2 linked regions of the Rattus norvegicus genome follow. The protein of the gene in region 1 interacts with the protein of each later gene in a biochemical or structural test. Links are inferred from orthologs where the notes say so. Each region holds a gene or a part of one and is shown on either strand. Other genes may lie near its edges.

What was found.
Region 2: of the proteins of Arih2 (region 1) and Ckb, one has a biochemical effect on the other in vitro, tested with the Homo sapiens proteins (2 studies listed by BioGRID). The link is inferred for Rattus norvegicus from reciprocal best matches to the Homo sapiens genes ARIH2 and CKB.

The regions. Positions count from the first base shown.
Region 1 is NC_086026.1:118,184,977-118,196,124, forward strand, and holds part of Arih2 (E3 ubiquitin-protein ligase ARIH2), read right to left. Parts: intron 8,008-11,148; coding exon 7,940-8,007; intron 5,430-7,939; coding exon 5,366-5,429; intron 4,789-5,365; coding exon 4,638-4,788; intron 3,101-4,637; coding exon 2,979-3,100; intron 1,653-2,978; coding exon 1,543-1,652; intron 1-1,542.
Region 2 is NC_086024.1:136,546,809-136,558,688, reverse strand, and holds Ckb (creatine kinase B-type), read left to right. Parts: upstream 1-5,224; 5' UTR 5,225-5,286; intron 5,287-5,529; 5' UTR 5,530-5,550; coding exon 5,551-5,743; intron 5,744-5,930; coding exon 5,931-6,085; intron 6,086-6,163; coding exon 6,164-6,296; intron 6,297-6,475; coding exon 6,476-6,647; intron 6,648-7,223; coding exon 7,224-7,347; intron 7,348-7,457; coding exon 7,458-7,647; intron 7,648-7,726; coding exon 7,727-7,905; 3' UTR 7,906-8,106; downstream 8,107-11,880. UniProt on the Homo sapiens protein: Reversibly catalyzes the transfer of phosphate between ATP and various phosphogens (e.g. creatine phosphate).

The sequences.
Region 1 (11,148 bases):
TCAGGTTTAAGGTAGGACTGAGACTCTGGGGAACCTCTCTACACCTTCTGGCTAGATGTGCACATAAGGATGCACCAATACCAGCACTGTTAAGTCTGAAGGTACTATCACATGTGAAAGAACTGAAGCTTAAATGGTAGGTGGCAGTGCACACCTCTAATCCCAGCACTTGGGAAGCAGGGGCAGGTGGATCTCTGTGAGTTCTAGACTACCGAGTCAGAGGACAGTTAGCACCACACAGAGAAACCCTGTCTCAACTACCCCCACTCCTCCCTCAAAAGAAGTGAAGCTTAAAAAAAAACAAAACAAAACAAAGCTAGGACTCAGGTCCTCAATTTCCTTTTGTACAAGTCAACAGTGAAGGTCTCCAAGGCAGCAATTACTCAGTTCTCTGCTTTAAGAGGGAGAGTCCGCTCACGGTCCTGGGCGGCTGAAGGTGCGCACACCCATTTGCTGCGAAGCTCCTGTGAAGCCAGACCATGGATCTTCCAGGGAACTGCAACTAGGACAAACCTGGATCCAAACCATGGCTCTGCTATTTACTAGTAGTTAGTAACCTTGTAACTTGACTTCCTGACAGAGAACACTACGATGGTGACAGAGCAAATCTCACAGCTGTGATGATGCAGGGGAATGACTGGACAGAGGCTTGTCACTTGGAACTTATTGAATGAGGACCTCAGATGTAAAATTCACCCACAACTTAGTTTTACACAAGTCAGCCAGTGCCAGCAGGGTGGACCATGAAGTCAGTCCTAGCATTACTACCGCTAATGGAGGGCAGATCTTCCTACAAAGTTAGTTCCAGGTTAGCCAAAGTTACATAGCAAGACCTTGTCTCAAAACTAAACAAAATGAGACAAACAATGTCCTGAGCTCAACTCTTAGCACCATATAGACCTTCCATGGTGATGCGACTCTGGACTCGCAGCACTGTGGAGGCACGGGGAGACCAGAGATGTTCAAGATAATCCTTGGCTATGCTTTGAATCTGAAGCCAGTCTGAGCTAAATGAGATCTTGTCAAAAAATATAAAAAGATAATAAATTTAAAATGTAAAAGTTAGCTAAAAAAAGTTCAAAACAGAAAGATGAAAAGTGTTGGGCTGCGGAGATGGCTCAGTGGTTAAGAGCACCCGACTGCTCTCCCAGAGGTCCTGAGTTCAATTCCCAGCAACCACATGGTGGCTCACAACCATCTGTAATGGGATCTGATGCCCTCTTCTGGCACGTAGGCAGAACATATTAAATAAATAAATGTTTAAAAAAAAGAGAGGAAAAAAGTGTTGAAGTCAAAACGGTAGACAGTGTCTTGGCCATGAGTACAGCATACACCTAACATATTCCCCAGGAATCTGCCACTTCCTTGCCCCCAGAGTCTGTTCATTTGCCAAAACTACCTGGGCACAAACCTGGCTACCTAGAGCTGTACTCTTCTGGACAGATAGTCCAACTCTCCCAGTCCTGTCCTCACAGACAGCAACAGGCTCTTTGGAGGAAGACGGGCCCTGCACCCAGGACTGCTCGGCATCCCCTCTCTTACCAGAAGACCTCGTTGCACCGATTGCACTGCACTCGGCGAGCTCTCGGCTCCTGTACCCGAATAACCATGGGGCAGTCTGCACCAGGGCACAGCTGGAGCTGGTAATGACTCTGTAAACACAGCGAAGGAAATGATGAAGCGATCGGCTAACGGTTGCACCTCAGACGGACTGCTCAAGTGCCTCTGTACTCCAACTGATGGCTTACATCAAAGGGCTAAACATGTTTAGGGTAGATGTTGTGAAAAATAGATATTAACTAATTATTACAGAGAATATTTCTTTAGCTTAAAACAAGGAGCTGGGTTGATGATTTAGCTCAGTGGTAGAGCGCTTGCCTAGCAAGCGCAAGGCCCTGGGTTCGGTCCCCAGCTCCAAAAAAAAACAAAAAAAAAAAAAAAAAAACCAAAAAAACAAGGAGCTACTAACTCCTTGTTATTTTATAAGTGTGCCTGTAGGCTGGAAAAGACATGTTTGTCTATAGCTCCGGATACTTAGCTACTTGGAAAACTAAGGCAGGAGAACTGCTTGAGCCCAGAGAGTTTAATCAAGGAGATCTGGGTCAACCAGGGAGAAGAGGTCTCAGGAAGAACATGTTTGGATGTGGGTTGGATGGTAACACAGTTCCGTTACCCGTGCATCTGACAGCTCAAGGACTCAGAGACGCTCAATAATCTATCCATGGTAACAAATTATACAAAGCAAAAGGCCTTGTGTTTATCCTGCATTTCTGCAAGACAACGACCAATCCAATAGCTTTTAAACGAAGTCATAACAAAGGTGGAAATTGCACTGTGTAGAATCTGCAAAACTGGGCAGGTGGCCTAAAACAGAACCAACCATGCTGGTATCCTGAAGAAGTTTTCAAATTGTTAAAACCCAAACAAAACAGCCCTTCTCTGGGCTGAATTGTACTGAAAAACAAATGGAGTAGCAACCCTTGAGCTAGGTCTGACCTGTGCTCACCCCTGAACCAAGATGGCTTGCTCAGCTTGCTCAGTTGTCTGTGTCTGCTGGACGACAGGGATGCCTGTCCACTCACGGCAGTGGAAACCAAGATTCAGGTAAACTAACGAGCAAGTGGTCTCACAACGAGGAAGCAACAGATCTTGGATTCACACAGCATTTTTTCAGAGCACAAGGTCTTTATCACAGTTTTTTAAATTAAATTATGTGTCTAGTATAGGGATGAGGAGGTATGTGTGGATGCATGCAGGTGCCTAGAAAGGCCAGAAGAAGGTGTCGAGATCCCCTGTGGCTGGAGTTACAGACACAGGACACGAGTACTGAGAACTAACAAGATCCTTCCTCTTCAAGACTCTAAAGTACTGAGCCTTTTCTCCAGCCCCAAGAGCTATGTGATTTACCACCAGCTGGGACTATACTGCATATGGTAGCCTCAGGAAGAGAGAGGGCAAAAGAACAGGGCCATTCATACCTCCACATAGTCCCTAAAGAGGTAGCGCCTGTATTTATCTCTCAACTCTTCGTTGGGAAGCAAGGGAAACACAAAGTCCTCTGGTGTTCGAAGCGGACAATCCTGAGCCATACATGAGATTCCTGTTGAACAAAGATAAAAGTGATGGCGGCCATACTGTCTTCTACACCCCCTTTACAGTACAATATACTTATCCTCCATGTTCCACCAACAAATTCTAATTCCATATAGGAAATTCTCTGTTCAAAATAGTTATCAAAGCTAGCACCTTTAATCCCAGAGGCAGGTTAATCTCTGTGAGCCGGCCTGGTCTACAAAGTGAGTCCATGATAGGCATGGCTGTTACACAGAGAAACAGTGCCTCAAAAAACTACAAAACAAGAAAAAACAAGAACTTATGCAAAGAGAGAAATTAACATGTTTTCATAATAATGTAATTACGATAGATATTGGGCTCAATTACCCAAATATCATTATAAGCACCACTAAATAAAATTAAAATGTTAGAGGTAGTGGCTCATGTCTCTAACCCCAGCACTGGGGAAGCAGAGGCAGAGTTTAAGGAGAGCCTGGTTTACATGAGATCCAGGTCAGCCAACGCTACATGGGGAGTCCTGTCTTAAACAACAACAACAACAACAAATTATAGACTTAGTGATTAATACGACTAATGATTTTGTTTTATTATGTACATGAAATTATTACTAGTATACTCATATTTTGGTGTTTCCTTTTGTTGGAGGGGAAGCAGAATACTACTATTTCATATAGTCCAAACTAGCCTTAAGCTTGCCATGTAGCTGAAGGAGGCCTTGAACTCCTGATGCTTCTGCTTCTACCTCCAAATGTTGAGCTAACAGTGTGCCACCTTGCCTAGGTTAATGTCCTGAGATTCTGCAGATAGCAACGAACATTGCTCTTAGTATTATCAAGTGAGGGGCAACAAATACTCCTGCACCACATAATCAAATCTGATAAAGGTTACATTGCCCCAAAGCAGTAGCTGGAATCAAGGCATGGTAGGCAGCTAAAGGACAGCTCCCTCAGCATCCTACCCTCCTCACCCCCTTACAGTTAGGAGCTTCTTTTTATGAGGTCTCGGCTGCCCTGGAACTGAATCTGTAGACCAGGCTGGTCTCCAATTCAGAAATCAGCCTGTCTGATTATTGGGGATTAAAGGTGTGCACCACCAATGATTAACAAAGGATGGTTCTCGTAAAAATGACATAAAATCATTTTGTACCCACACCAATATTTCTAAAACCTTTAATTTTCTCATTTTACTGGAGACTACAGAAAACTGTATTATTTAGATCTGTTAATCTTACAAGAAATGTTTACTTAAGTATATGAAAACAGACTGAAAGACAAATATTTTAAGGCTGGAGAGATGGCTTGGCAGTTAAGAGCACTGGTTGCTCTAACAGAGGACTGGGTTTATGCCCAGCACCACATGGTGGTCACTGTCACCTATCACTTAGTCCCAGGGACCCTATGCTCTCCTCTGACCTCTGCAGGCACTAAACACACATGGTATACACAGAGTTACATGCAGACAAAATACTTAATACATTATATGCATAAAATCGAATAAATAAATAAATGTTTTTCAAAAGACCTTTTTTGTGAGAGCTATATTTATTTTCAGTGCAGACTCACCTACACCGACACCATCTTTGACGAGGACTGAGCAATGTTGCTCCCAACAGCTTCGGCAAAACTGATGCTGGCAGGTCAGAGAGAGCAGGTTTTCCTTCCGCACAAACTGCATACACACTGCACAGTGGTGAGGGGGGTGGGCTGTGGGGACCTGGAGTGGGAGGGGAAGAGCAGGAAAAGGAGAACAAACACCACATAAGGTTCCCAAAAGCTGAACTGTAAAGGTCCTCACAGTCCACACTACAGTTTGCCAAGGGCAGTGGTTTTCCCACAAAAACATGCTCAAATCACAAAACAGATTAGCTATGAGGGTTTTCTGTCTTTGTTAAAGAGCTGAGTTAGGTTCCCAATACACATATGGCAGCCCGCCCGTACCCATCTGCAATCGCAGATCCAGGGGTTCTAATGTTTTCTGCTGGCCTCATACACACTAGGCATCCATGTAGTACTACACATGCATTCTCATAAGACAAACATTCATGCCTTTAATCACAGCACTCAGAAAGCAAAGGCAGGCCCAGCAGATCTGAGTTTCAAGCAAAGCCTTGTGTATATGTTAAATAAAAAACAAAAAAAAAAAAAAATTGGGGGTGGGGATTAGGAGCAAACTAAGGATTGTGGACATTCTATACAGCACCAAACAAGGCTGGTGCTGACACTGTGAGTCACAGAGAAAGCCATGAACACTCAAATACAGCTAGCCGCTCACTCTAGTTGGAGACACTCACGTGTTTGGATGGATTAGGTTGAACTCGCGCCTCAACAAGCAGCTGAGCAGAATTAGACCTGTACCTGGAAAACAAAAGGCAAAACAGAGAATCACATTGGAAGACATTTTTAACTTTCAATGACAGAACAGATCATCAGGTGTTGTGGTTACATCAAAGTGTATTTTACCTTGTCAGCATAATGGTATGTGTCTACAACCCTAGCACTCAGCAAATGTGAGGCCATAGCATGTTTGAGGTTTTCTCTGATAGTTTCTTTATTGAACCAAATTTCCTTTAACTCAATACATTCTTTTCTTTGGAAGCTGGGCAGAGGCAAGAGGTTGGAGACAGGGTCTTTACTTTGCAGCCCTGGCTATTCTGCAACGCTCACAGATCTGTCTGTCTCTGCCTTTTGAGTACGAGATTGGAGGGGTATGCCACAATGCTCACTTGCTCCGTTTGGTTTTTAACATTTATCTTATATGTATGAAAATGTTGCTTGCACGTATGTTTATATACAATCTGCATGTCTGGTGCCAAGCAGGCCAGGAGAGGGCACTGAAGTCTTTGAGACTAGAGTTATATGTAGCTACATACAGTTACATGTAGCTACATACAGTTACATGTAGTTGCCAGGTGGTGCTAGGGAACTGGATCTGAGTCCTCAACAAGAGCACTAAGGACTCTTAACCACTGAACACATCTCCAGCCCTCAAAACCGTTTTCTGAGAGAGAAGGTAGCTAAGGAGAGAGTATAAAATGCAGACACGCTAAATAGGAAGCAGAATGTGTACAGCATAATTTTGTTTATAAAGTTGTGAAATCATACAAATAGAAGATACTTAATTTTTAAAAAGAGATTTATTTTATGTATGTGAGTTCACTGTTGATCTCTTCAGACACACCAGAAGAAAGACATTGGATGCCATTACAGGGGGTTGTGAGCCACTGCGTAACTGGTTGCTGGGAATTCAGGACTTTTGGGAATTCAGGACTTTTGGGAGAATGGGACTGAGCCATCTCAAGTCCCCCAGAAGATACATAATTTAAGAGTAAAATAAGAAGCATGGGATAAGCAAAGAGCTCACTTAGCAGAGTGTCTGCGTCATGCACAAGGTGTGATGCCCTGCACTGCATGAACCTTGTGGCACATGTATGCACATGTATGCACAAGAGGAGGAGACAGGAGGACCTACCATGCCCATTTGAAGCTATTCCTGGTCTGTCAGAGACCTGAGGAAGCCACTGCTACTGACACGTAGTAGGTAAAGCCCAGAGGAGCTGCCAGATTTCCTATAGTTTACATAGTAGCACCACATCACCAAAGAATTGTCCACTCCAGCCAAGTCTCATGGCATAGATCTGTATTCCCAGCTACTTCAGATACAGCAGCAGGCAGATCCCAACAGGGTACCTAGACAACTTAGCAAAATCATATTTCAAAATAAGGGGTAAACTGGGGCTGGGGGTGTGGCTCAGTGGGCAAGCGCTTGCTTAGTCCATCGAAGTGTTAAAGGCAGGTACCCACACCCAACCATTTCTCAACTTTTTTGGTGTTATGGGGAATGGTCTATTCCACACAAACACAGAAGATTAAACGTAAATCTGCTGCCAAACAACAGAGGTTTAAAAAGTATGAAGACACCTGTATAGTAACAAATACTATCCCAGCATTAAAACTGAAATAGAAGAGTATGCTGAGAGGTAAGAGAATATAATATGCTCAAAGAAAAGGATATAAAATATCCCTTTGAGCAATTGTGTGTGCATGAGAACACACCCCACAATGTCAAGAACAATCACAGTGGGTTGGGCAGACACTGACGGATGCTATGGACTCATCTTTCCACTGAACATCTTGCCTATGTCCAGGATATATGCTGGCTAGTTTTTATGTTAATTTAACAAAAGCCAGAAGTCACCTGAGAGGGGGAACCTTGACTGAGAAAATGCTTCCCTAAGATCAGGCTATAGGCTGCTACTATGGTAATATAATCTTTTGATCTCAGGGCTTAGAGGTAGAGACAGGCACATCTCCTTGAGTTCAAGGCCAGCCTGGTCTACACAGAAAATTCAAGGACAGTCAGAGCTAGATAATGGTTGTCAAAAAAAAAAAAAAAAAAAGATTTTGGAGGCTCAAGCAGTTAAGAGTACTGACTGTTCTTCCAGAGGACCTGAGTTCAATTCCCAGCAACCACACAGGCTATAACAGGGATATGGCTCAGTGGGAAATCACTTGCTTAGTCCATCGAAAGTGTGGACATAAATCTTAAAAACAAAACAAAAAGTCCAAAAGATCAGACTGTAGCAGCCTGGAGGGTATTTTCTTTTTTTTTTCTTTTTTCTTTTTTTTCGGAGCTGGGGACCGAACCCAGGGCCTTGTGCTCGCTAGGCAAGCGCTCTTCCGCAGAGCTAAATCCCCAACCCCTGGAGGAGGTTATTTTCTTAATCAGTGACTGATGGGGTGGGACACAGCCCACTGTGGGTGGTGACTCTCCTGGGCTTCAAGAAACCAGGCTGAGTAAAATCACAGTGGACAGGCAGAGAAGGATGCTATAGGCAATTTCACCTCCTTTCCCCTGAATATCTTACCTGTCCAGAATCTCTGAGACTTGCCAGTGGAAATTAACTAATATAAGCTTTGCAACTGAATGAGATACCTGTAAGAAACAACAACAAAAAACCAACAAACTTTAAGTGTGGTCTCTCACAGTGTTCTATCATTTGAGAAATCACCACTATGCTAGTTTCACATTCTTTTCTTTCATTGTATGTTTTTGTCTTTTAAGTTAAATTTCTTATATTAGTTATTTTATACATCTCTTGATCTTTGTTTTCATTCATGTTTTCTTAGAAACTCTCCCTGGAAACTGAAGCAAAACCATCCTTCTCTGTAGTAATTAAAAATGTGATATCCAACGTTAAGCAAAAGAGCTTCCCAGCTGGGCTCCTGAATGTGAGTAAAGTTCTCAAACACTGCTCTACAAGGCCACACCCACAGAGTGCTTCTAGATAGGGCCAGCAGCATATCTCCAGGCATTTGATTTATATTCTGTCAACAACAAAATGAATTTAAGGTCAGATGTGGTAGCATATAATTTTAATCTCAGCAGGCAAACCTCTTCTGAGTTCAAGACAGAGTCTGAAAACCAAGTTTCAGGCAGCCGGGGGTACAGTGAGACCCTGAGCTATCTGCATGCACAAAGCCAAAAATGCCTTTTATCTCAGGAGACGGAGACAGGCAAATTTCTGCTGTACACAGACAGTGCCAGGCCCTGTACACAGTGAGACTCTAAATTACAGTCAGTTTATTGTTTTTAAGACAGAGTTTCTCGGGGCTGGGGATTTAGCTCAGTGGTAGAGCGCTTACCTAGGAAGCGCAAGGCCCTGGGTTCGATCCCCAGCTCCGAAAAAAAGAACCAAAAAAAAAAAAAAAAAAAAAAAAAAAAAAAAAAAAAAAGACAGAGTTTCTCTATGTAGCTAGACCCGGTTGTCCTGAAACTCGTTCTATAGACCAGGCTGGCCTCAAACTCAGAGACTGCCTATATCTGCCTCCTAAAGACTGAGATTAAAGGCATGGACCACCACACTTACCTTAAAAAACAGTTTTAAACGTCCAAATTCACAAAATTCAACAAGTCTTAATTGCTAAACATTTAAAGGGTTGTAGACTGTTTTCTGGTCTTTACACATGGCTCTGACTATTAAAGAGCCTCAAAAGATGACAAAAAGTTAATGTAAATTCTTCCTAAGGAAATGAGAGGATACATGTACCACTAGGTTATTAAGATATTAAAAATAACGTATATGCCCAAGAAAAGTGAGCCTGATAAATATGTAACAGATTCATGCAATGAACAGCAATGAACTTATTGAAAAGAATGCTACAGTTATGGATATAAAACAGGTTTACTTTGGGGGGATAGTCTCATATAACCTAGGCTGACCTCAAACTTGCTTTATAGCTACCAATGATCTTTAACTTCTAATCCTCCTGCTTTCACTTCCTCAACTCTGGGATCACAGATGTGTGCCACCATGTCCAGTTTATGCTCAGAGCTTTGTACATAACGGTCAAGCTCAACCAACTGAGCTTCAGAGAAGCTTACATTTCAGTATTAGGTTAAAGAAGAAAGTAGCAATAAAGCATTCGATTCATAGGGGCCATGATATCTTATTACATGGAAAATAAATTAGTTGAAAACATCTTAAGCATCAAGACTAGGGTGGGAGCCAAAAGGTTGGGGTGTGTTTGGAGGCCTAGATCAGGCAGGCTTCCCAGAGAAAGCAGAGGACAGCATGAGGATGCCACTGAGAATACGAAAGGCCAGTAGATACCTCAGGATGCAGACACTGCTCTGATCTGGCGCTGAGTCTACAAACAGCAGCTACCTGTACCGTAGTGCCTACCTGGTTCCCAGAAAACTTTAACAGGAAGACAATTACCAACATGTAATCCCCAGCTCTGGGGTACAAGCCATCCCTGAGACTAAATAATGCATATCCTAGCGTGACGTCATTATCAAAGGCCGTTCAATTAGCGACTGCCTTCCTTCCTGTCCCACAGGCCAAATACATCTGGAGAAATCCAGGGAAAATCTCACACGGGGCAGAAGTTCTGACTACCTTCCATGAAAGATGAAGACCACATATGCTGCTAAACAATTTTCTTACTGAGGCCCACGGAGACTTAAGGCAAAGGTCCCTAAATCACGAATAGTAATGTCTTTTAACTGTTGCCATAATTCATCTCAACAGATTAAGTAATAAACCAGTTATTTTCTTTAAATTTTAGCAGATGCATAAATACAGCTATTTATTGATTGACTGATAAGGTCTTTTTGGCAGAGAACTTTCTATGTAGAGCAGGCTGGTTTAGACATCCACCTGCCTCTGCCCTCGGAGTACTTGCACTAAAGATGTGTGCCACCATGCTGGATTTTTTTTCCCCTTAGAAGCTCTCAGTATGGAGCTATGTGTAGTTCATGCTGGTTCAAGCTTGTGGTCCTTTTTGCCTTGGCCACCATGTGCTAGGATTATAGTGTGTTCCATAATGTTGACTCTACAAATACTTTTATTTTTAATGCATATGAGTTTGTATGTGTTAGGTTTGAGGGAGTGCAGGTACCACAGTGCACAGTGGTGCTAGCGGACAACGTTGTAGAAGTACATCCTTCTCCTGGCTGGAGCCTTGTCTTTGCTGTCTGATGCACTCAGTCTCCCTTGTGCCCATCCTGTCCTTCCTTTCTTCTTTCAGCCCTTTTGTTTATTTCTTTTTGAGATAGGCTGTAACTACATAGAGCACTCCGCTTTAGCCTCCTGAGTGTTGAAGACTGATGTGCAACCTCACTGGGCCACACCAACTGCTTCTTACTCTTTTTTTTCTTCTTTTCTTTTCTTTTCTTTTCTTTTTTTTTTTGCTAGTAGCCAAAGATGGGCCACCATACCCAGCTGTTCTGATTTCTATGTATCTTATAGTAGGCCTGGGCCCCATAAACACATTAAAATCACTACAGATGATTTAGGTGGAATCTTTAAGCTAAGAACAGGGGTCAGGGCTGCCCTCCTCAATTCCATAAAGCCCACACAATTGGTTTAGAAATAGATCTCCATTCCATGATGGTGACTAGTTACTATTTCACTACCCACTCAGAGGTGACATGATGACCTCAGGTGTCAGTCCCATCTGTCTCCCATTTTTCTGAGAGATCTTTTGTGTTTGTATCTTAGTACAGCAGGCTAGCTGGCTGTCACAAGATTCTTTAGATTCCTCTCCCTCACCTGGGTATCTGAATATGAGA
Region 2 (11,880 bases), on another chromosome or scaffold:
AGGATTCCCACACAGGAAGGACTAGAATATAGTCTTTTCTCCATCCCCCAGTGTGAAGGCGACGGCCTCTGACAGGCACTAGCACGGGGGAGAAGCCACCTCCGAGTCCGGATTCCCTGTAACCCCTTGCCCAGAGTCTCCACGGAGGGCTCCCGATAGCAGCGACGGCTGGCTTCCGGCCGAACAACACTGGACTTGCTAGCAAGCCCGGAGCGCCGCTCCAAGCTCGGAAACTTACGCAGCATAAACCGGCTCTCCGATCTACACGTGTCTCCGCCGCGGCCGCCGCACTTCCGGTGCTCTTTGATGACGTCAAACCAGCGCACGGGTTGCTGGGAGCCGCCGCGCTGTCCTTTGCGCGCTCCCAAAGGACGTTTCCTGGCTGGCGTCTCCGCGGCTGTGTTCTTGTGTGCACACTTGCGCGTTGCCCGAGAAACCCGAGCACTGTGCAAAATAAAAGTCCCCTGTTCGCCAGCAGCTTGTCCGCGTGCGGCCTTTTAGGGTTGCCCAGTGCACGAAGCTTCTGCCCGCGGGATACGCCTGACCCTAAAGCGCACTTTGACAACTATGCAACCCCAGGGCCTCCCTACTATGGCCCACCATGACATTTTGTCTTTGCAAACGGCTCTGAAACACCCTGCCTGGGCTCCAGGATAAATGCTAGAAAGTGGGACCGCAGGGCAAAGGGACGGGGGGGTCTAGGCAAAGACTTTGGCTAGGGCTGGCCCGAGTGTAGAAGTAGCGTTAGTCTGGAGTATTCTGCAAAAGTGGCCTAAGGCTAGGTCCTGCGTGAGGGGAAGGGGGCATAACGTCCCCTCCTAGGATCCCTGACATCTTGAGAGTATATGAAGCCTATGAAGTGGACTCACTAGTGCCCTGGGAGAGGGGCTGCTGGAAGCCAAGCGGATAGGACAAGCTGTAGTAGTGTTGTAAGGTCCTTGCCCTAGAAACTCAGGTGCCTGACTCCAGACCTCAGATTTCGGCCCTGGCTGACCTTAACAGAATAGCCCTGGAAGAACAGGCAATGAGGGGTTTTCTTGGTCACCCATTCTGTGAAGTTAAACTTTTACCTGAGACATCCAGCTGTATCCACGGCTGCACAACCCCTATCCCTAACAGGGTACTTCATTCCCTTGGTGGTGCACAGCCCAAGACACATCCTAATTGCTCCTCTGGAGAGTTAAGACTTTCCACTCCTCCTGAGGTTCCTCTTCCCCAGCTTCTCGGTGGCATGGAGACCAGGCCTTAGTACATCCCCACCAAACCTATGAGTTCAACCAGGGGGGTTTCCCTTGGTTCCAGTTACCCACTGCTGGCTTCCCAGTCCTTCCTGCGTACCTTCTGTAGTCCACCTTCTCAGAGCTATCCATCTGTCATGCCTCAGCTCAGCCTGGAGTCTTCTAGCAGAGCCAGCCTCCTTAAGACCCTAGCTGCTGAGGTGGGGGTGGGGAGATTTCCATGGGCAGTTTATACACTGACTTGTCCTAATAAAAACAGATGCTATCAGCAGTCAGCCAACTCTCATGTCACTGAACCCTTCCACCCCACAATTTTATGACCTCTTTACAGACGGGGAACAGAAGGTCAATTTGTCTAGCATCATACAGACAACATGGTTTAAGCAGGACTGAATTTTGCCTTTGAGACAGTCTCCCTATATAGCCTTGGCTGGTCTAGAACTCACTGTGTAGATCATGCTGGTCTCAGACTCAAGAGATCTGCCTGCCTCCGCTTACCAAATACTGTGTTTAAAGGTGTGGTCCACCCTGGCCTGAGAGATTGCAGTTCAAAGCCTAGTTTCAGAGAATTGATAAGACACTTGAGCAAGAACAGAGGCAGTTCCAGAGGAAAAGAAGCTGCGCCTTTTGGGTAGGCTGCTCCACCTGCACCTCTGTCAGGGCCTAGGCTGCCAAGAGGCCCCTTTGACTGGCACAGCCCTGCGGCACTGGGTCCTGCAGCCGCCACCTCTCTTCTAACCCCTGCCAACTTCCCCTTTGTGTTCCATGAGCAAGGGAGCAGAGAGGAAGAGCTGTACCCTGGGCACAGACTGACGGACTATGGATGGCCTCTGGGGAACCTGGAGCCCAGAGACCTGTTTCTCCACTTGCCCTGCGGAACTGGACCATGCTCTATGAATAAAAAAACCTAGGACTCCTTTGAGGCCCTTTCCTGCTCTGTGGTTAATGTATGACTTGGTGTGATTTCGAAGGAGATAGGACCGTAAATCTGAGGGATGATGTCATCCAGCTTCTTGCCTGGAAACTGCCAGACCAGCTACTGAGTTCTAAGGTTAGCAGCAGGTCCACAGTCAGGAACGCAGCTGGGTCAGCAGACCCTCAGCTTGCTCCCTTGCTCTGAAGGCCACCAGGACTTCCAAGCAACACCTCAGTGGGGGCCTCACGTTCATATTGTGATCTAAAGACTGTGAAAGGCCCCTTTACCTCCCTACTCTGCTGTCACCTCTACTGTAGCTGTCATATACTCTGCTCTCTGAATCTGCACAATGTCCCAAGCGTAGTCACCCTGGGACCACTGGGGGATATCTGGACTTCTGAGCCAGCACTTCTTTGTGTGTCTTCCTTTGTGTATCTGAAGTAGAGTGGGGCATAGGACAAAGGTCACAAGAGCCTGTTCCTGTGCTGGGTGTGGCTTACTGCTGGGATAGGCACCCCTGCCAGTCCTACCTTCTGTTCCTCACCTCACCTAGAATCCTGGTCTTGCCCTGGCACGGAGATGGGAAGGGGTAAGGAAGGAGAAAGAGCTAAGAAGCTGTAAATCCTGGAGGCAAAGAGGAAGCCCCAAACTCCCCTTCCCCACCCCCAGCCTAGATAACAAGTTCGCTTCCCATTTCTACAAACAGAAACTTGAGAACTAGGGCTCAAGCAGAGCCAGCTTCCCTGAGCAGGGTAGGGACTGGGTGGGCAGCTGCAGATTATTTCTGAGATGGGGAGGGGCTGCTGGGAGCATAGCACACACAGGCTGATGGTACACCTGTGGTCTAGCCAGAGACAAGAGCTCAGGGAGCCCAGGCTGGTCTTGAATTCCTAATCTTCCTTCCCCCCCCCCCCTTTTCTTTTTGAGACAAGGTTTCTCTATGTATCCCTGGATGCCCCAGAATTCACTATGTAGGCTAGGCCAGCTTTAAATGCCCAGATACACATCTGCCTCGTCTTCCAGACTCCTGGAATACCTTCTTATTGTGAGGTTTCATTGGCCTACAAAAAAGTGACTTGACCTGGGCATGGTGGCTCCATCCTATAATATCAGAACTTAGGATGCTGAGACGGGAAGAGCCTGGTCTATGGACTCTTGTCTCAAAACACAGTAGACCAAGCTGAGCAAGAGACAGGAGCTCTGCAGGAGCTCTGGGGACAGAACAGTGGTGGCTTTTCATGCTCACCCAGGCAGAGGCAGGCAGGCAGGCTTTCTGCCCTGAGTTCTTTACTCTGCCACTCTACCCAGGCACCGGCACATTCTCTCGAAGCCTTGAATTCTAGTCATGCCTCTCTGTTTGCTCAGGGCAGCCTGCTTCCACAGAAAGGCAGGTCCCTAAGCCTCTTGGGCACTTCCATCCATCTTTATTCCATCCAGTCCCTCACGTGTGGCTGGAGGTGCAGGAGGAGCAGCCTCCCCCAAAAGGTGTCTTCAGCTTCTTTTCCTCTGGGGCTTAAGTGTGCTCTCAGTTCTCTGAAGCTAGGCTTTGAACTGCAATCCCTCAGGGCAGGGTGGACCACGTCTTTAAGTCCAGAATTGGGTAAGGAGAGGCAGGCAGATCTCTGAGGCCTGTAGGGTCTACATGGTGAGGTCCAGGACTATAGAGCCTGTCAAAGACAAACGACTGAAGATATTCTGTCTAACACACAAACCCAGAAATGGCTGAGAGGCTGTGAGTAGACAATAAACAGGAAAGTATAGATATTGATTTTTTTTTTGAGACAACGTTTCTCTGGAACAGAGGCCTGGCTGTCCTGGATTCTCTTTGTACACCAGGTTGGCCTCAAACTCATAGAGATCCTCCTGCCTCTGCCTGGGATTGAAGGGGTATGCCAGCATGCCCGGCCTCACCTCTGTTTGCGTCTGTACACTTTTCTACCTATGGCCATCCCCTCATGAGCATCAAGGTCTAATCCAAGCGTGTCTTTCTCTCCCTCTGCACGGTTCCTGATCTATTCGTAGAGAAGGGACGCCGTCTTTCTATAGGCTGGATTCCTAGAAGTGAGATTGCTAGGTCATGGAACAATTTTAAAAATTTTAATAAGTACTGCTAAACTACTTTCCAGAGAAGATGAAACTGCTGGCAGCTGGAGGCAGGGTGTGAACGCCTGTGTTCACACATTCCAATTCACAGCCGGCACTGGCTGTGGTCAAATTCCAGGTTTCCCCGTACCTGCGTGTGTGGGACACGGGGTGGGGGAAAGAGACTCTTTCAATCTGGTGGATCTGATTAATGAGCTTATTTTTGACTGGTGCTTCCTCCACCCCCAGTTTGCCTGCCGTAGGTACTGTCTTTGTAGGTGGGGTGGTAGAAACCGGTCCCTCAGGAAAGAACCTGGGGATTTGAAGATTCAAAAACAGTCTCTAGGAGCTCAGTGTCTTGAATTTTTCAGGGTCCGGGTCCAAGGGTCTTGGCTAGGTTCCTTAGGGCCCGCCCAAGGTCAGAACACCCTGGGTGCTTCCGGGCGGGACCGCAGCCAGACTGCGCCTCTGGTGTTGCACCAAGAACACCCAGGAGATGCCCGCAGGCACCTTGAGGAAGGTCAGCTCCCCTGTACCGTTTTGTACCGCCTGGATGCAGTGGATGGAAGCCGTACCCCATGCTAAAAACCTGGTATCTCTTGCCATGACCCCCTCAACACTGCTGTCGGCCTGACAAGGCAGGAAGCAGGGAAGGCAGGAACCTCAAGTGCTAACTGGCTTTCCAGACTCAGTTTCCTGCCCCGAGGCAGTGTGTGTGAAGCAGGTCTAGGGTATCTACGGTCCTGGGATTTCGTCTTCGAGATCCTGAGCGAGCGCCACGGGGTTGACCAAACTGCGCAGCGGGGTCGAGACTTGGGGACCCATGGGGTGGGCCGCTGGGGGTGTCGAGGGTTGTTGCCTCGGACAAAGCGGCGGCACCACCCCAAAGCGCGGGCCAATGGAATGAATGGGCTATAAATAGCCGCCAATGGGAGGCCGGCGACGCGCCCCTTAAGAGCTCAGGGAGCAGCGAGCGGCCGTCGTTCTTCTGCGCTGCGCCCGGAGCTGCAAGCACAAGCAGTCTGCGTTCCTGCTCCGTCCGGAATCCCGGTGAGCGGGTCGGAGGGTGAGGGGCTAGTCCTGAGGGGCGCTACGCGGTTGGGTGCATCACGCGCAGCTCGTTGCCCGGAGCGCGTCCCGGACCCGCCGGGGAACTTGGGATGCGCCGGACTCAAAAGATGCAGACCTCGCTGACCTTGGTGACGTCCGAGGAAAGCTTCGGGGGTCCGGATTGGTCTGCAGGTCTCTGGAGACCGGTGTGTAAAGCTCCTCTGACCCCGCTCTTCCCCGCAGCCTGCCGCCGCCGCCGCCGCCATGCCCTTCTCCAACAGCCACAACACGCAGAAGCTGCGCTTCCCGGCCGAGGATGAATTCCCTGATCTGAGCAGCCACAACAACCATATGGCCAAGGTGCTGACCCCCGAGCTGTACGCGGAGCTCCGTGCCAAGTGCACGCCGAGCGGCTTTACGTTGGACGACGCCATCCAGACTGGCGTAGACAATCCGGGTATGCACACCCTTGTAGCGTCAGGCTTTCGTCTCCCCAACAAGCCCCCCGGGCAAGGATCCCACTGCTCTTCCCTGAACCCTCGGCGGGGTGGGGTCTCCTGGTCCTCTCTGCGCTTAGCCATAAGGGCCTCAGTGCCTTGCTCTAGCTTGGCGCTGACGTCACTGTCGCCGCGCCCCTCCTCCAGGCCACCCGTACATCATGACAGTGGGTGCAGTGGCGGGCGACGAGGAGAGTTACGACGTATTCAAGGACCTTTTCGACCCCATCATCGAGGACCGGCACGGCGGCTACCAGCCCAGTGATGAGCACAAGACTGACCTCAACCCAGACAACCTGCAGGTGCGGGGCGTCAGGGTCCGGGCGTGCTGGGGAGAGGGGGTCTCGGCGCTCACTCCGGCCACTGCCTTGCATCCCTAGGGCGGCGATGACCTGGACCCCAACTACGTGCTGAGCTCGCGGGTGCGCACAGGCCGAAGCATCCGCGGCTTCTGCCTCCCCCCTCACTGCAGCCGTGGGGAGCGCCGCGCCATCGAGAAGCTGGCAGTAGAAGGTAGGGTCCGGTATCAGCCACCAGAGCTGCTGCGTTCTTGTCTGGGCGCGCGCGCATTCCCCCAGGGGTCTGAGGGTGGAAGACCCAACTAAGACAGCGGGGACACTGCCGCGGGCGGGGTGGCGAGCTTTCTAGCTCGCCCACCCACCCACCGGGTCCTTGAACTCTGTACTCCGCAGCCCTGTCCAGCCTAGATGGCGACCTGTCTGGCAGGTACTATGCGCTCAAGAGCATGACCGAGGCGGAGCAGCAGCAGCTCATTGACGACCACTTCCTCTTCGACAAGCCTGTGTCGCCTCTGCTGCTGGCCTCCGGCATGGCCCGCGACTGGCCGGATGCTCGCGGCATTTGGTACGAGCCCTCTTCCCTCACAGTCCCCGGAAGGTGGGGCACGGCCTGAATTCGTAGATTGTGCGTTACCACACTGTGCGCAGGTGACCTTGGTTCTGCGGATGACTGAGGTCCCTGCGCCGCGGGAGGCCGCAGTCTCCAGGGATTCAAGGGTGGTGACCAGTTTCTTTGGCGTCTGTTCTCCGCCCTCCTCCTGGGAGCCGGCGCTTCTTGTTTTCTCTCCTCCTTCTCACCCCCTTATTCCGCCGGGATTCTGCCAGGTGCCAGTGACGCAAAAGCCTCCGCACCCGTCCGGGCAGGGCTCCTACCCCTGCAGACTGCGCGGGCGGAGGCGTGCTTCCTCTGGTGGGCTGCTCTGGCTGCTCCAGCCCCTTGCGGGCCACGCAGCACATGACTGGTGATTGAGGTGCCCTGGTCTCCCTGCCTTCGAGTGTTGCTGGGTGGGCGTCTTAGAGACAGCCCACACTCCTGCACTTGGAAAGCGCTTTGGAGGTCACCCACCTAGGGCGTCCTGCTGGGTGTGACCTAACTAAGGCTGTAGACTTTGACTTTGGTCTGCCCGACCCCCTCCTCCAGGCACAATGACAATAAGACGTTCCTGGTGTGGATCAACGAGGAGGACCACCTGCGGGTTATCTCCATGCAGAAAGGGGGCAACATGAAGGAAGTTTTCACGCGATTCTGCACTGGCCTCACTCAGGTCTGGCCTGGTGCTAAGGAGGGAGGGGGTCGGGGGGATTTGAGTCCACATTTCCCAGGGTGCTTGGGGCTTCCAGCTACATTTTCCCTTAACTTTCCCTTCACCTTCAGATTGAAACTCTCTTCAAGTCTAAGAACTATGAGTTCATGTGGAACCCTCACCTGGGCTACATCCTCACGTGCCCATCCAACCTGGGCACTGGGCTTCGGGCAGGCGTGCACATCAAGCTGCCCCACCTGGGAAAGCACGAGAAGTTCTCGGAGGTGCTCAAGCGACTGCGGCTTCAGAAGCGAGGCACAGGTGAGGGGCAGACGACTCAGGTGAAGCAGCAAACGCGGCTTTCCCCAGCCCTGCTGACCTGCCTGTCTCCCATCCCCAGGTGGTGTGGACACCGCTGCTGTGGGTGGAGTTTTTGATGTCTCCAACGCTGACCGCCTGGGCTTCTCGGAGGTGGAGCTGGTGCAGATGGTGGTGGACGGAGTGAAGCTACTCATTGAGATGGAGCAGCGGCTTGAGCAGGGTCAGCCCATTGACGACCTCATGCCTGCCCAGAAGTGAAGCCTGGCCCTAGCCACCACCAGGCTGCCGCTTCCTAACTTATTACCCGGGCAGTGCCCGCCATGCATCCTTGATGTTTGCCGCCTGGCGGCTGAGCCCTTAGCCTCGCTGTAGAGACTTCTGTCGCCCTGGGTAGAGTTTATTTTTCTGATGGCTAAGCTGTTGCAGACACTGAAATAAATTAGGGTTTGGCCTGCCCTATGTCTGAGTGTTGCTTCTCCTTTCTTAGAGACAGTCGTGTGTGTGTGTGTGTGTGTGTGTGTGTGTGTGTGTGTGTGTGTGTGTGTCCATCCGTCCTTCCTGGCCTGTCACTTCACCTAGCAGATGAAACATGAGTCTTAAGATACAGGGCAGAGGGAGGGAGACTTGAGTGCAGCCTGAACATCTAAGGACATTTGTACTTGCAGGGTGGAGCCTAGTATTTCCTTAGCTCCAGCCAGCTAAAGGGAGTCAGCAACTTGACATCTTCCCCAGTTTCTTTCTGCCGCATTCCTGGCAGCCTGAATATCTAAAGTTCTATCTCTTCACTTCCTTCCCCTCCAGGCTTCAACACTTACTCCAGTTCTTAAATAATTCTCTCCCTACTTCCTCCAGCTTCCAACCCCAGGTTGAGGTGCCTCCTCCTGATCCCTCAGCCCAGCTCTCCAGCCCCATCCAGACAAGAGCTTTTCAGAACCACCCGTCCCTCTCTTGCAGCTTCCTCTCTGGGGCCCTGGTGGTTGGGAGGAGACAAGCTTTTGCTTCCACTTCTAGCTTCTGTGCCACGTCATCTAGGAGACAGGACAGTAGTTGGAGGGGCTTTGCTGTGACCTGTCTGAACAGGTCAAAGGGGAGACATTCCAAGGCTCACATCAGGGGGCCTGGGCACAAAGGCTTGGCTGCTTTTCATGGTGGCTTATCCTGGTTGGGCCTCATGAAAAGATCTGGCCCACATTTGAAAGCTGAGAAAGGGAAAAACGTCAACCAGGGGCTGGAACTGCAGTTCCCCGCCCCCACAGTGAGTCTTCCAAGAAAACAGTCTTGTGCTGCCCCCTGCTGGTCAGGCACACCACAGGCTTCACGGATGATCGCCCCAGACTTGATACCCAGACCCAGTAGATGGGGAGGCAGCACTGAGCTGTGGGCTACAGAGGTGTGTCCTGGTGTTGCTTCAAAGGGCAGACTCCAGTTATGGGCTCATCTAGGTGGTGTCTAGGTTGGGGAAACTCGAGTGAGGACTTACCTGTAGAACGCTGTCAGAACGCATCTCACTGGGTGGACTGGGCTATATAGGACAGGCTCCCTAGAAGGACAGAGAGGGGTCAGGGATCTCTGCATCTCTTTTTTTTTTGTTTGTTTGTTTGTTTTTTTTTTTCGGAGCTGGGGACCGAACCCAGGGCCTTGCGCTTCCTAGGCAAGCGCTCTACCACTGAACTAAATCCCCAACCCCGATCTCTGCATCTCTTAGTGTCCTGGGATAGCACTCTCTTCTGTCTTCAGTCTCCTCACATGTCCTAACAGGTTTGCAGCTAGCACTTCTGTCAGGGAGATCTGGGGCCCCGCGAGACAGGGGTATGGATGAGACCGTTCCCTCAGCTTTGTCTTCCAGTCAGTGGGGTTCTGCCAGCCACACTTGTAGACTTCAGTCTGGTGGCAAAAAGTAGTCCTTCAGCTGGGCAGTGCGAGCATATGCCTTTAGGAAGGCAGAGCTCTGAGCTCAAGGCCAGCCTGAGCTATAGAGCAAGTTCCAGGACAGAACAGAACTTCAAAGAAAAACCCTGTCTTGAAAAACGGGGGAGGGGGAGCTTTAGAACTATCTCCATAAAAAAGGGAAGTGAGTCTCTGACAGGGAAGGACAAGAGAGGGACAGTAGGTACAGTACACCCTAAACCCTCCATCTGCTGTTACACATCAAAAGACCTGATGACAGGAGGCAGGACATGGGACCCCTGTAATGGTGAGGGTTCCTGCCTGTCTTCTTATAACTGCCTCAGGCCTGTTAAGTTCATTCTTGGAATACCAACTTTTCTTCTTATGGAAGAAGTCCAGACGGCCCTGCTCTGTCTTTGGATCTGAGATTCAAATGAGTGTGTTGAGCTTGGCTTTTGTGGTGGGCACAGAGAGGAAGGAGCTGTGCTCATTGGGAGTGGGGGTGGAGGCAAATCTCCCTGGGACAGTCTGACCACACTAAGTCTGATTTCTTACCAGGAGCAGCCAAAGGAGGGTTTCACCTTGGAGCTACCAACATTGGGGTGGTCCAATGATAGAGGTGGGTATTCTGTCCTCCAAGACACCAACCTACCATACTAATAAAAACCCCAGCCCTCTTCACCCTGGGGCGGGTAGAATTTCTAGATGCTGACCCTGGAAGACCACTATCCAAAAACAAGGAAATACAACTGCTTAGAGAAGGAAAGAACTGGTCAGGACCATTTACTTGGGGGGGTGGGGGGAGACAGAGAGACAGAGAGAGACAGAGAGTGCGAGCGAGTTTGGCCAACCCCACCCCTCCTACTTCATGCAAGCAAATTTCACACTCAGTGCTGTGAAGACAGGCTGAGAAAGCAAGCACGGGTTATAAAACAGCTTGCACTGAGATCCCACACAGATTATTATGTATGGACAAACCCCCAGAGCCTTCTGCCTGTGGGTGGAAACAGGTGATTTCCTTCTTTATACTTCTCTTTCCGAATTTCTTCCAGTGAGCATGTATTGCTTATATAAGGCAATGTTTTTGGCCATGTTGAGGGTCAAACTCAGGGTTCTGCACATGCTAGGTAAGTGCTTGATCTTAGCTGCATTCCCAGTCTTCCCTATGTACCTGAGGATGAACGTGAAATCCTCCTGCCTCCACCAACCGGCGGCTGGGATTGTGGATGTGTACTGTCTCACCCTGTTTCTGCAGTGCAGGGTTTAGGATTAAACCAAGGGCTTTGTACTAGTCAGTGCTGGGCTACACAGCCTTGGCCCTGTCCCAGTAAAACTGGAACTGTTTTTCTTCTTTCTTCTATTTATATTTTAAGAATTTAATGTGTCACGGCTGGTGGGAGTCCATTAAGGCAGTAGCAAGAAGGCATCCACTGCTAACCTCCTCTGTGATGGGGAAACTGAGGCTCAGAGAGGAAAGCCTAACTCTAGGTCAAGCCTAACCCAGGCCTGGGTGATTCCTCTGCTCTAACTTCTGGGGCTTTCAGGGCTCTTGAGGGGTGGGTCTAGCTTCTCCCAATGGTAGCTTAGAAGGCTGCAATTGCCCACAGGGTTCCTTACACAGCACTTCTATTTCTGACCCAGCCTGGTACTTAGCAAGCCTCCTGATGCCTGAGGCAGCTAGACATTATACCCACAGGGATTCAAGTTAAATCTTTCCCACTGGCCAAAAGGAGAGTCATCCTACTAATGTAGTGGGTGACAGCCAGGGAAGCAAGGCTTTTTGGTCAGCTGGGACTCTGGTCTGTGTCTTTACTCTGACCCAGAGCAGGGGCTCTGGCTGAGGCTCAGGAGTCCTGACTACCACACCTTGGCCAATACAGTCCCTACCTACTTAAAGGCTGGACAATAGCTGGGCATGGTAACACACGACTTTAACAGGACAGAAGTGGGAGTGGCAGGAGCTCCCTCTGGCCAAGTTTTAAGGTATTGATGGCTTAAAGTTCCCTGGTGGCCACTCTGCTTTAGCTACAAAGTTTTGGTGCTTAGCTTGGTGACAAGACAGTCATTCAAGCAGCCACCTTGGGATGTGAGTACAAGGCCATCCTGCAGAAAACAGGTAGGGCTCCTATGTTTGTATCACCTGGCCACTAGGTCCTGATGGAAACGTGTGTGGCACCTAAATCACTAGTGGGGAAGTGATCAACCGGGACTGTGGTCAGCTCTCCTAGCAGCAGCGTCACTGGAGAGCAGGGCAGACTGTGGGTCAGTGGGGTTGGACTGCGGGTGGAATGAAGGGTGACCTGGTTCTGGCTTTCTCCACACTGGGGATGACTCACTAGGTTGTCT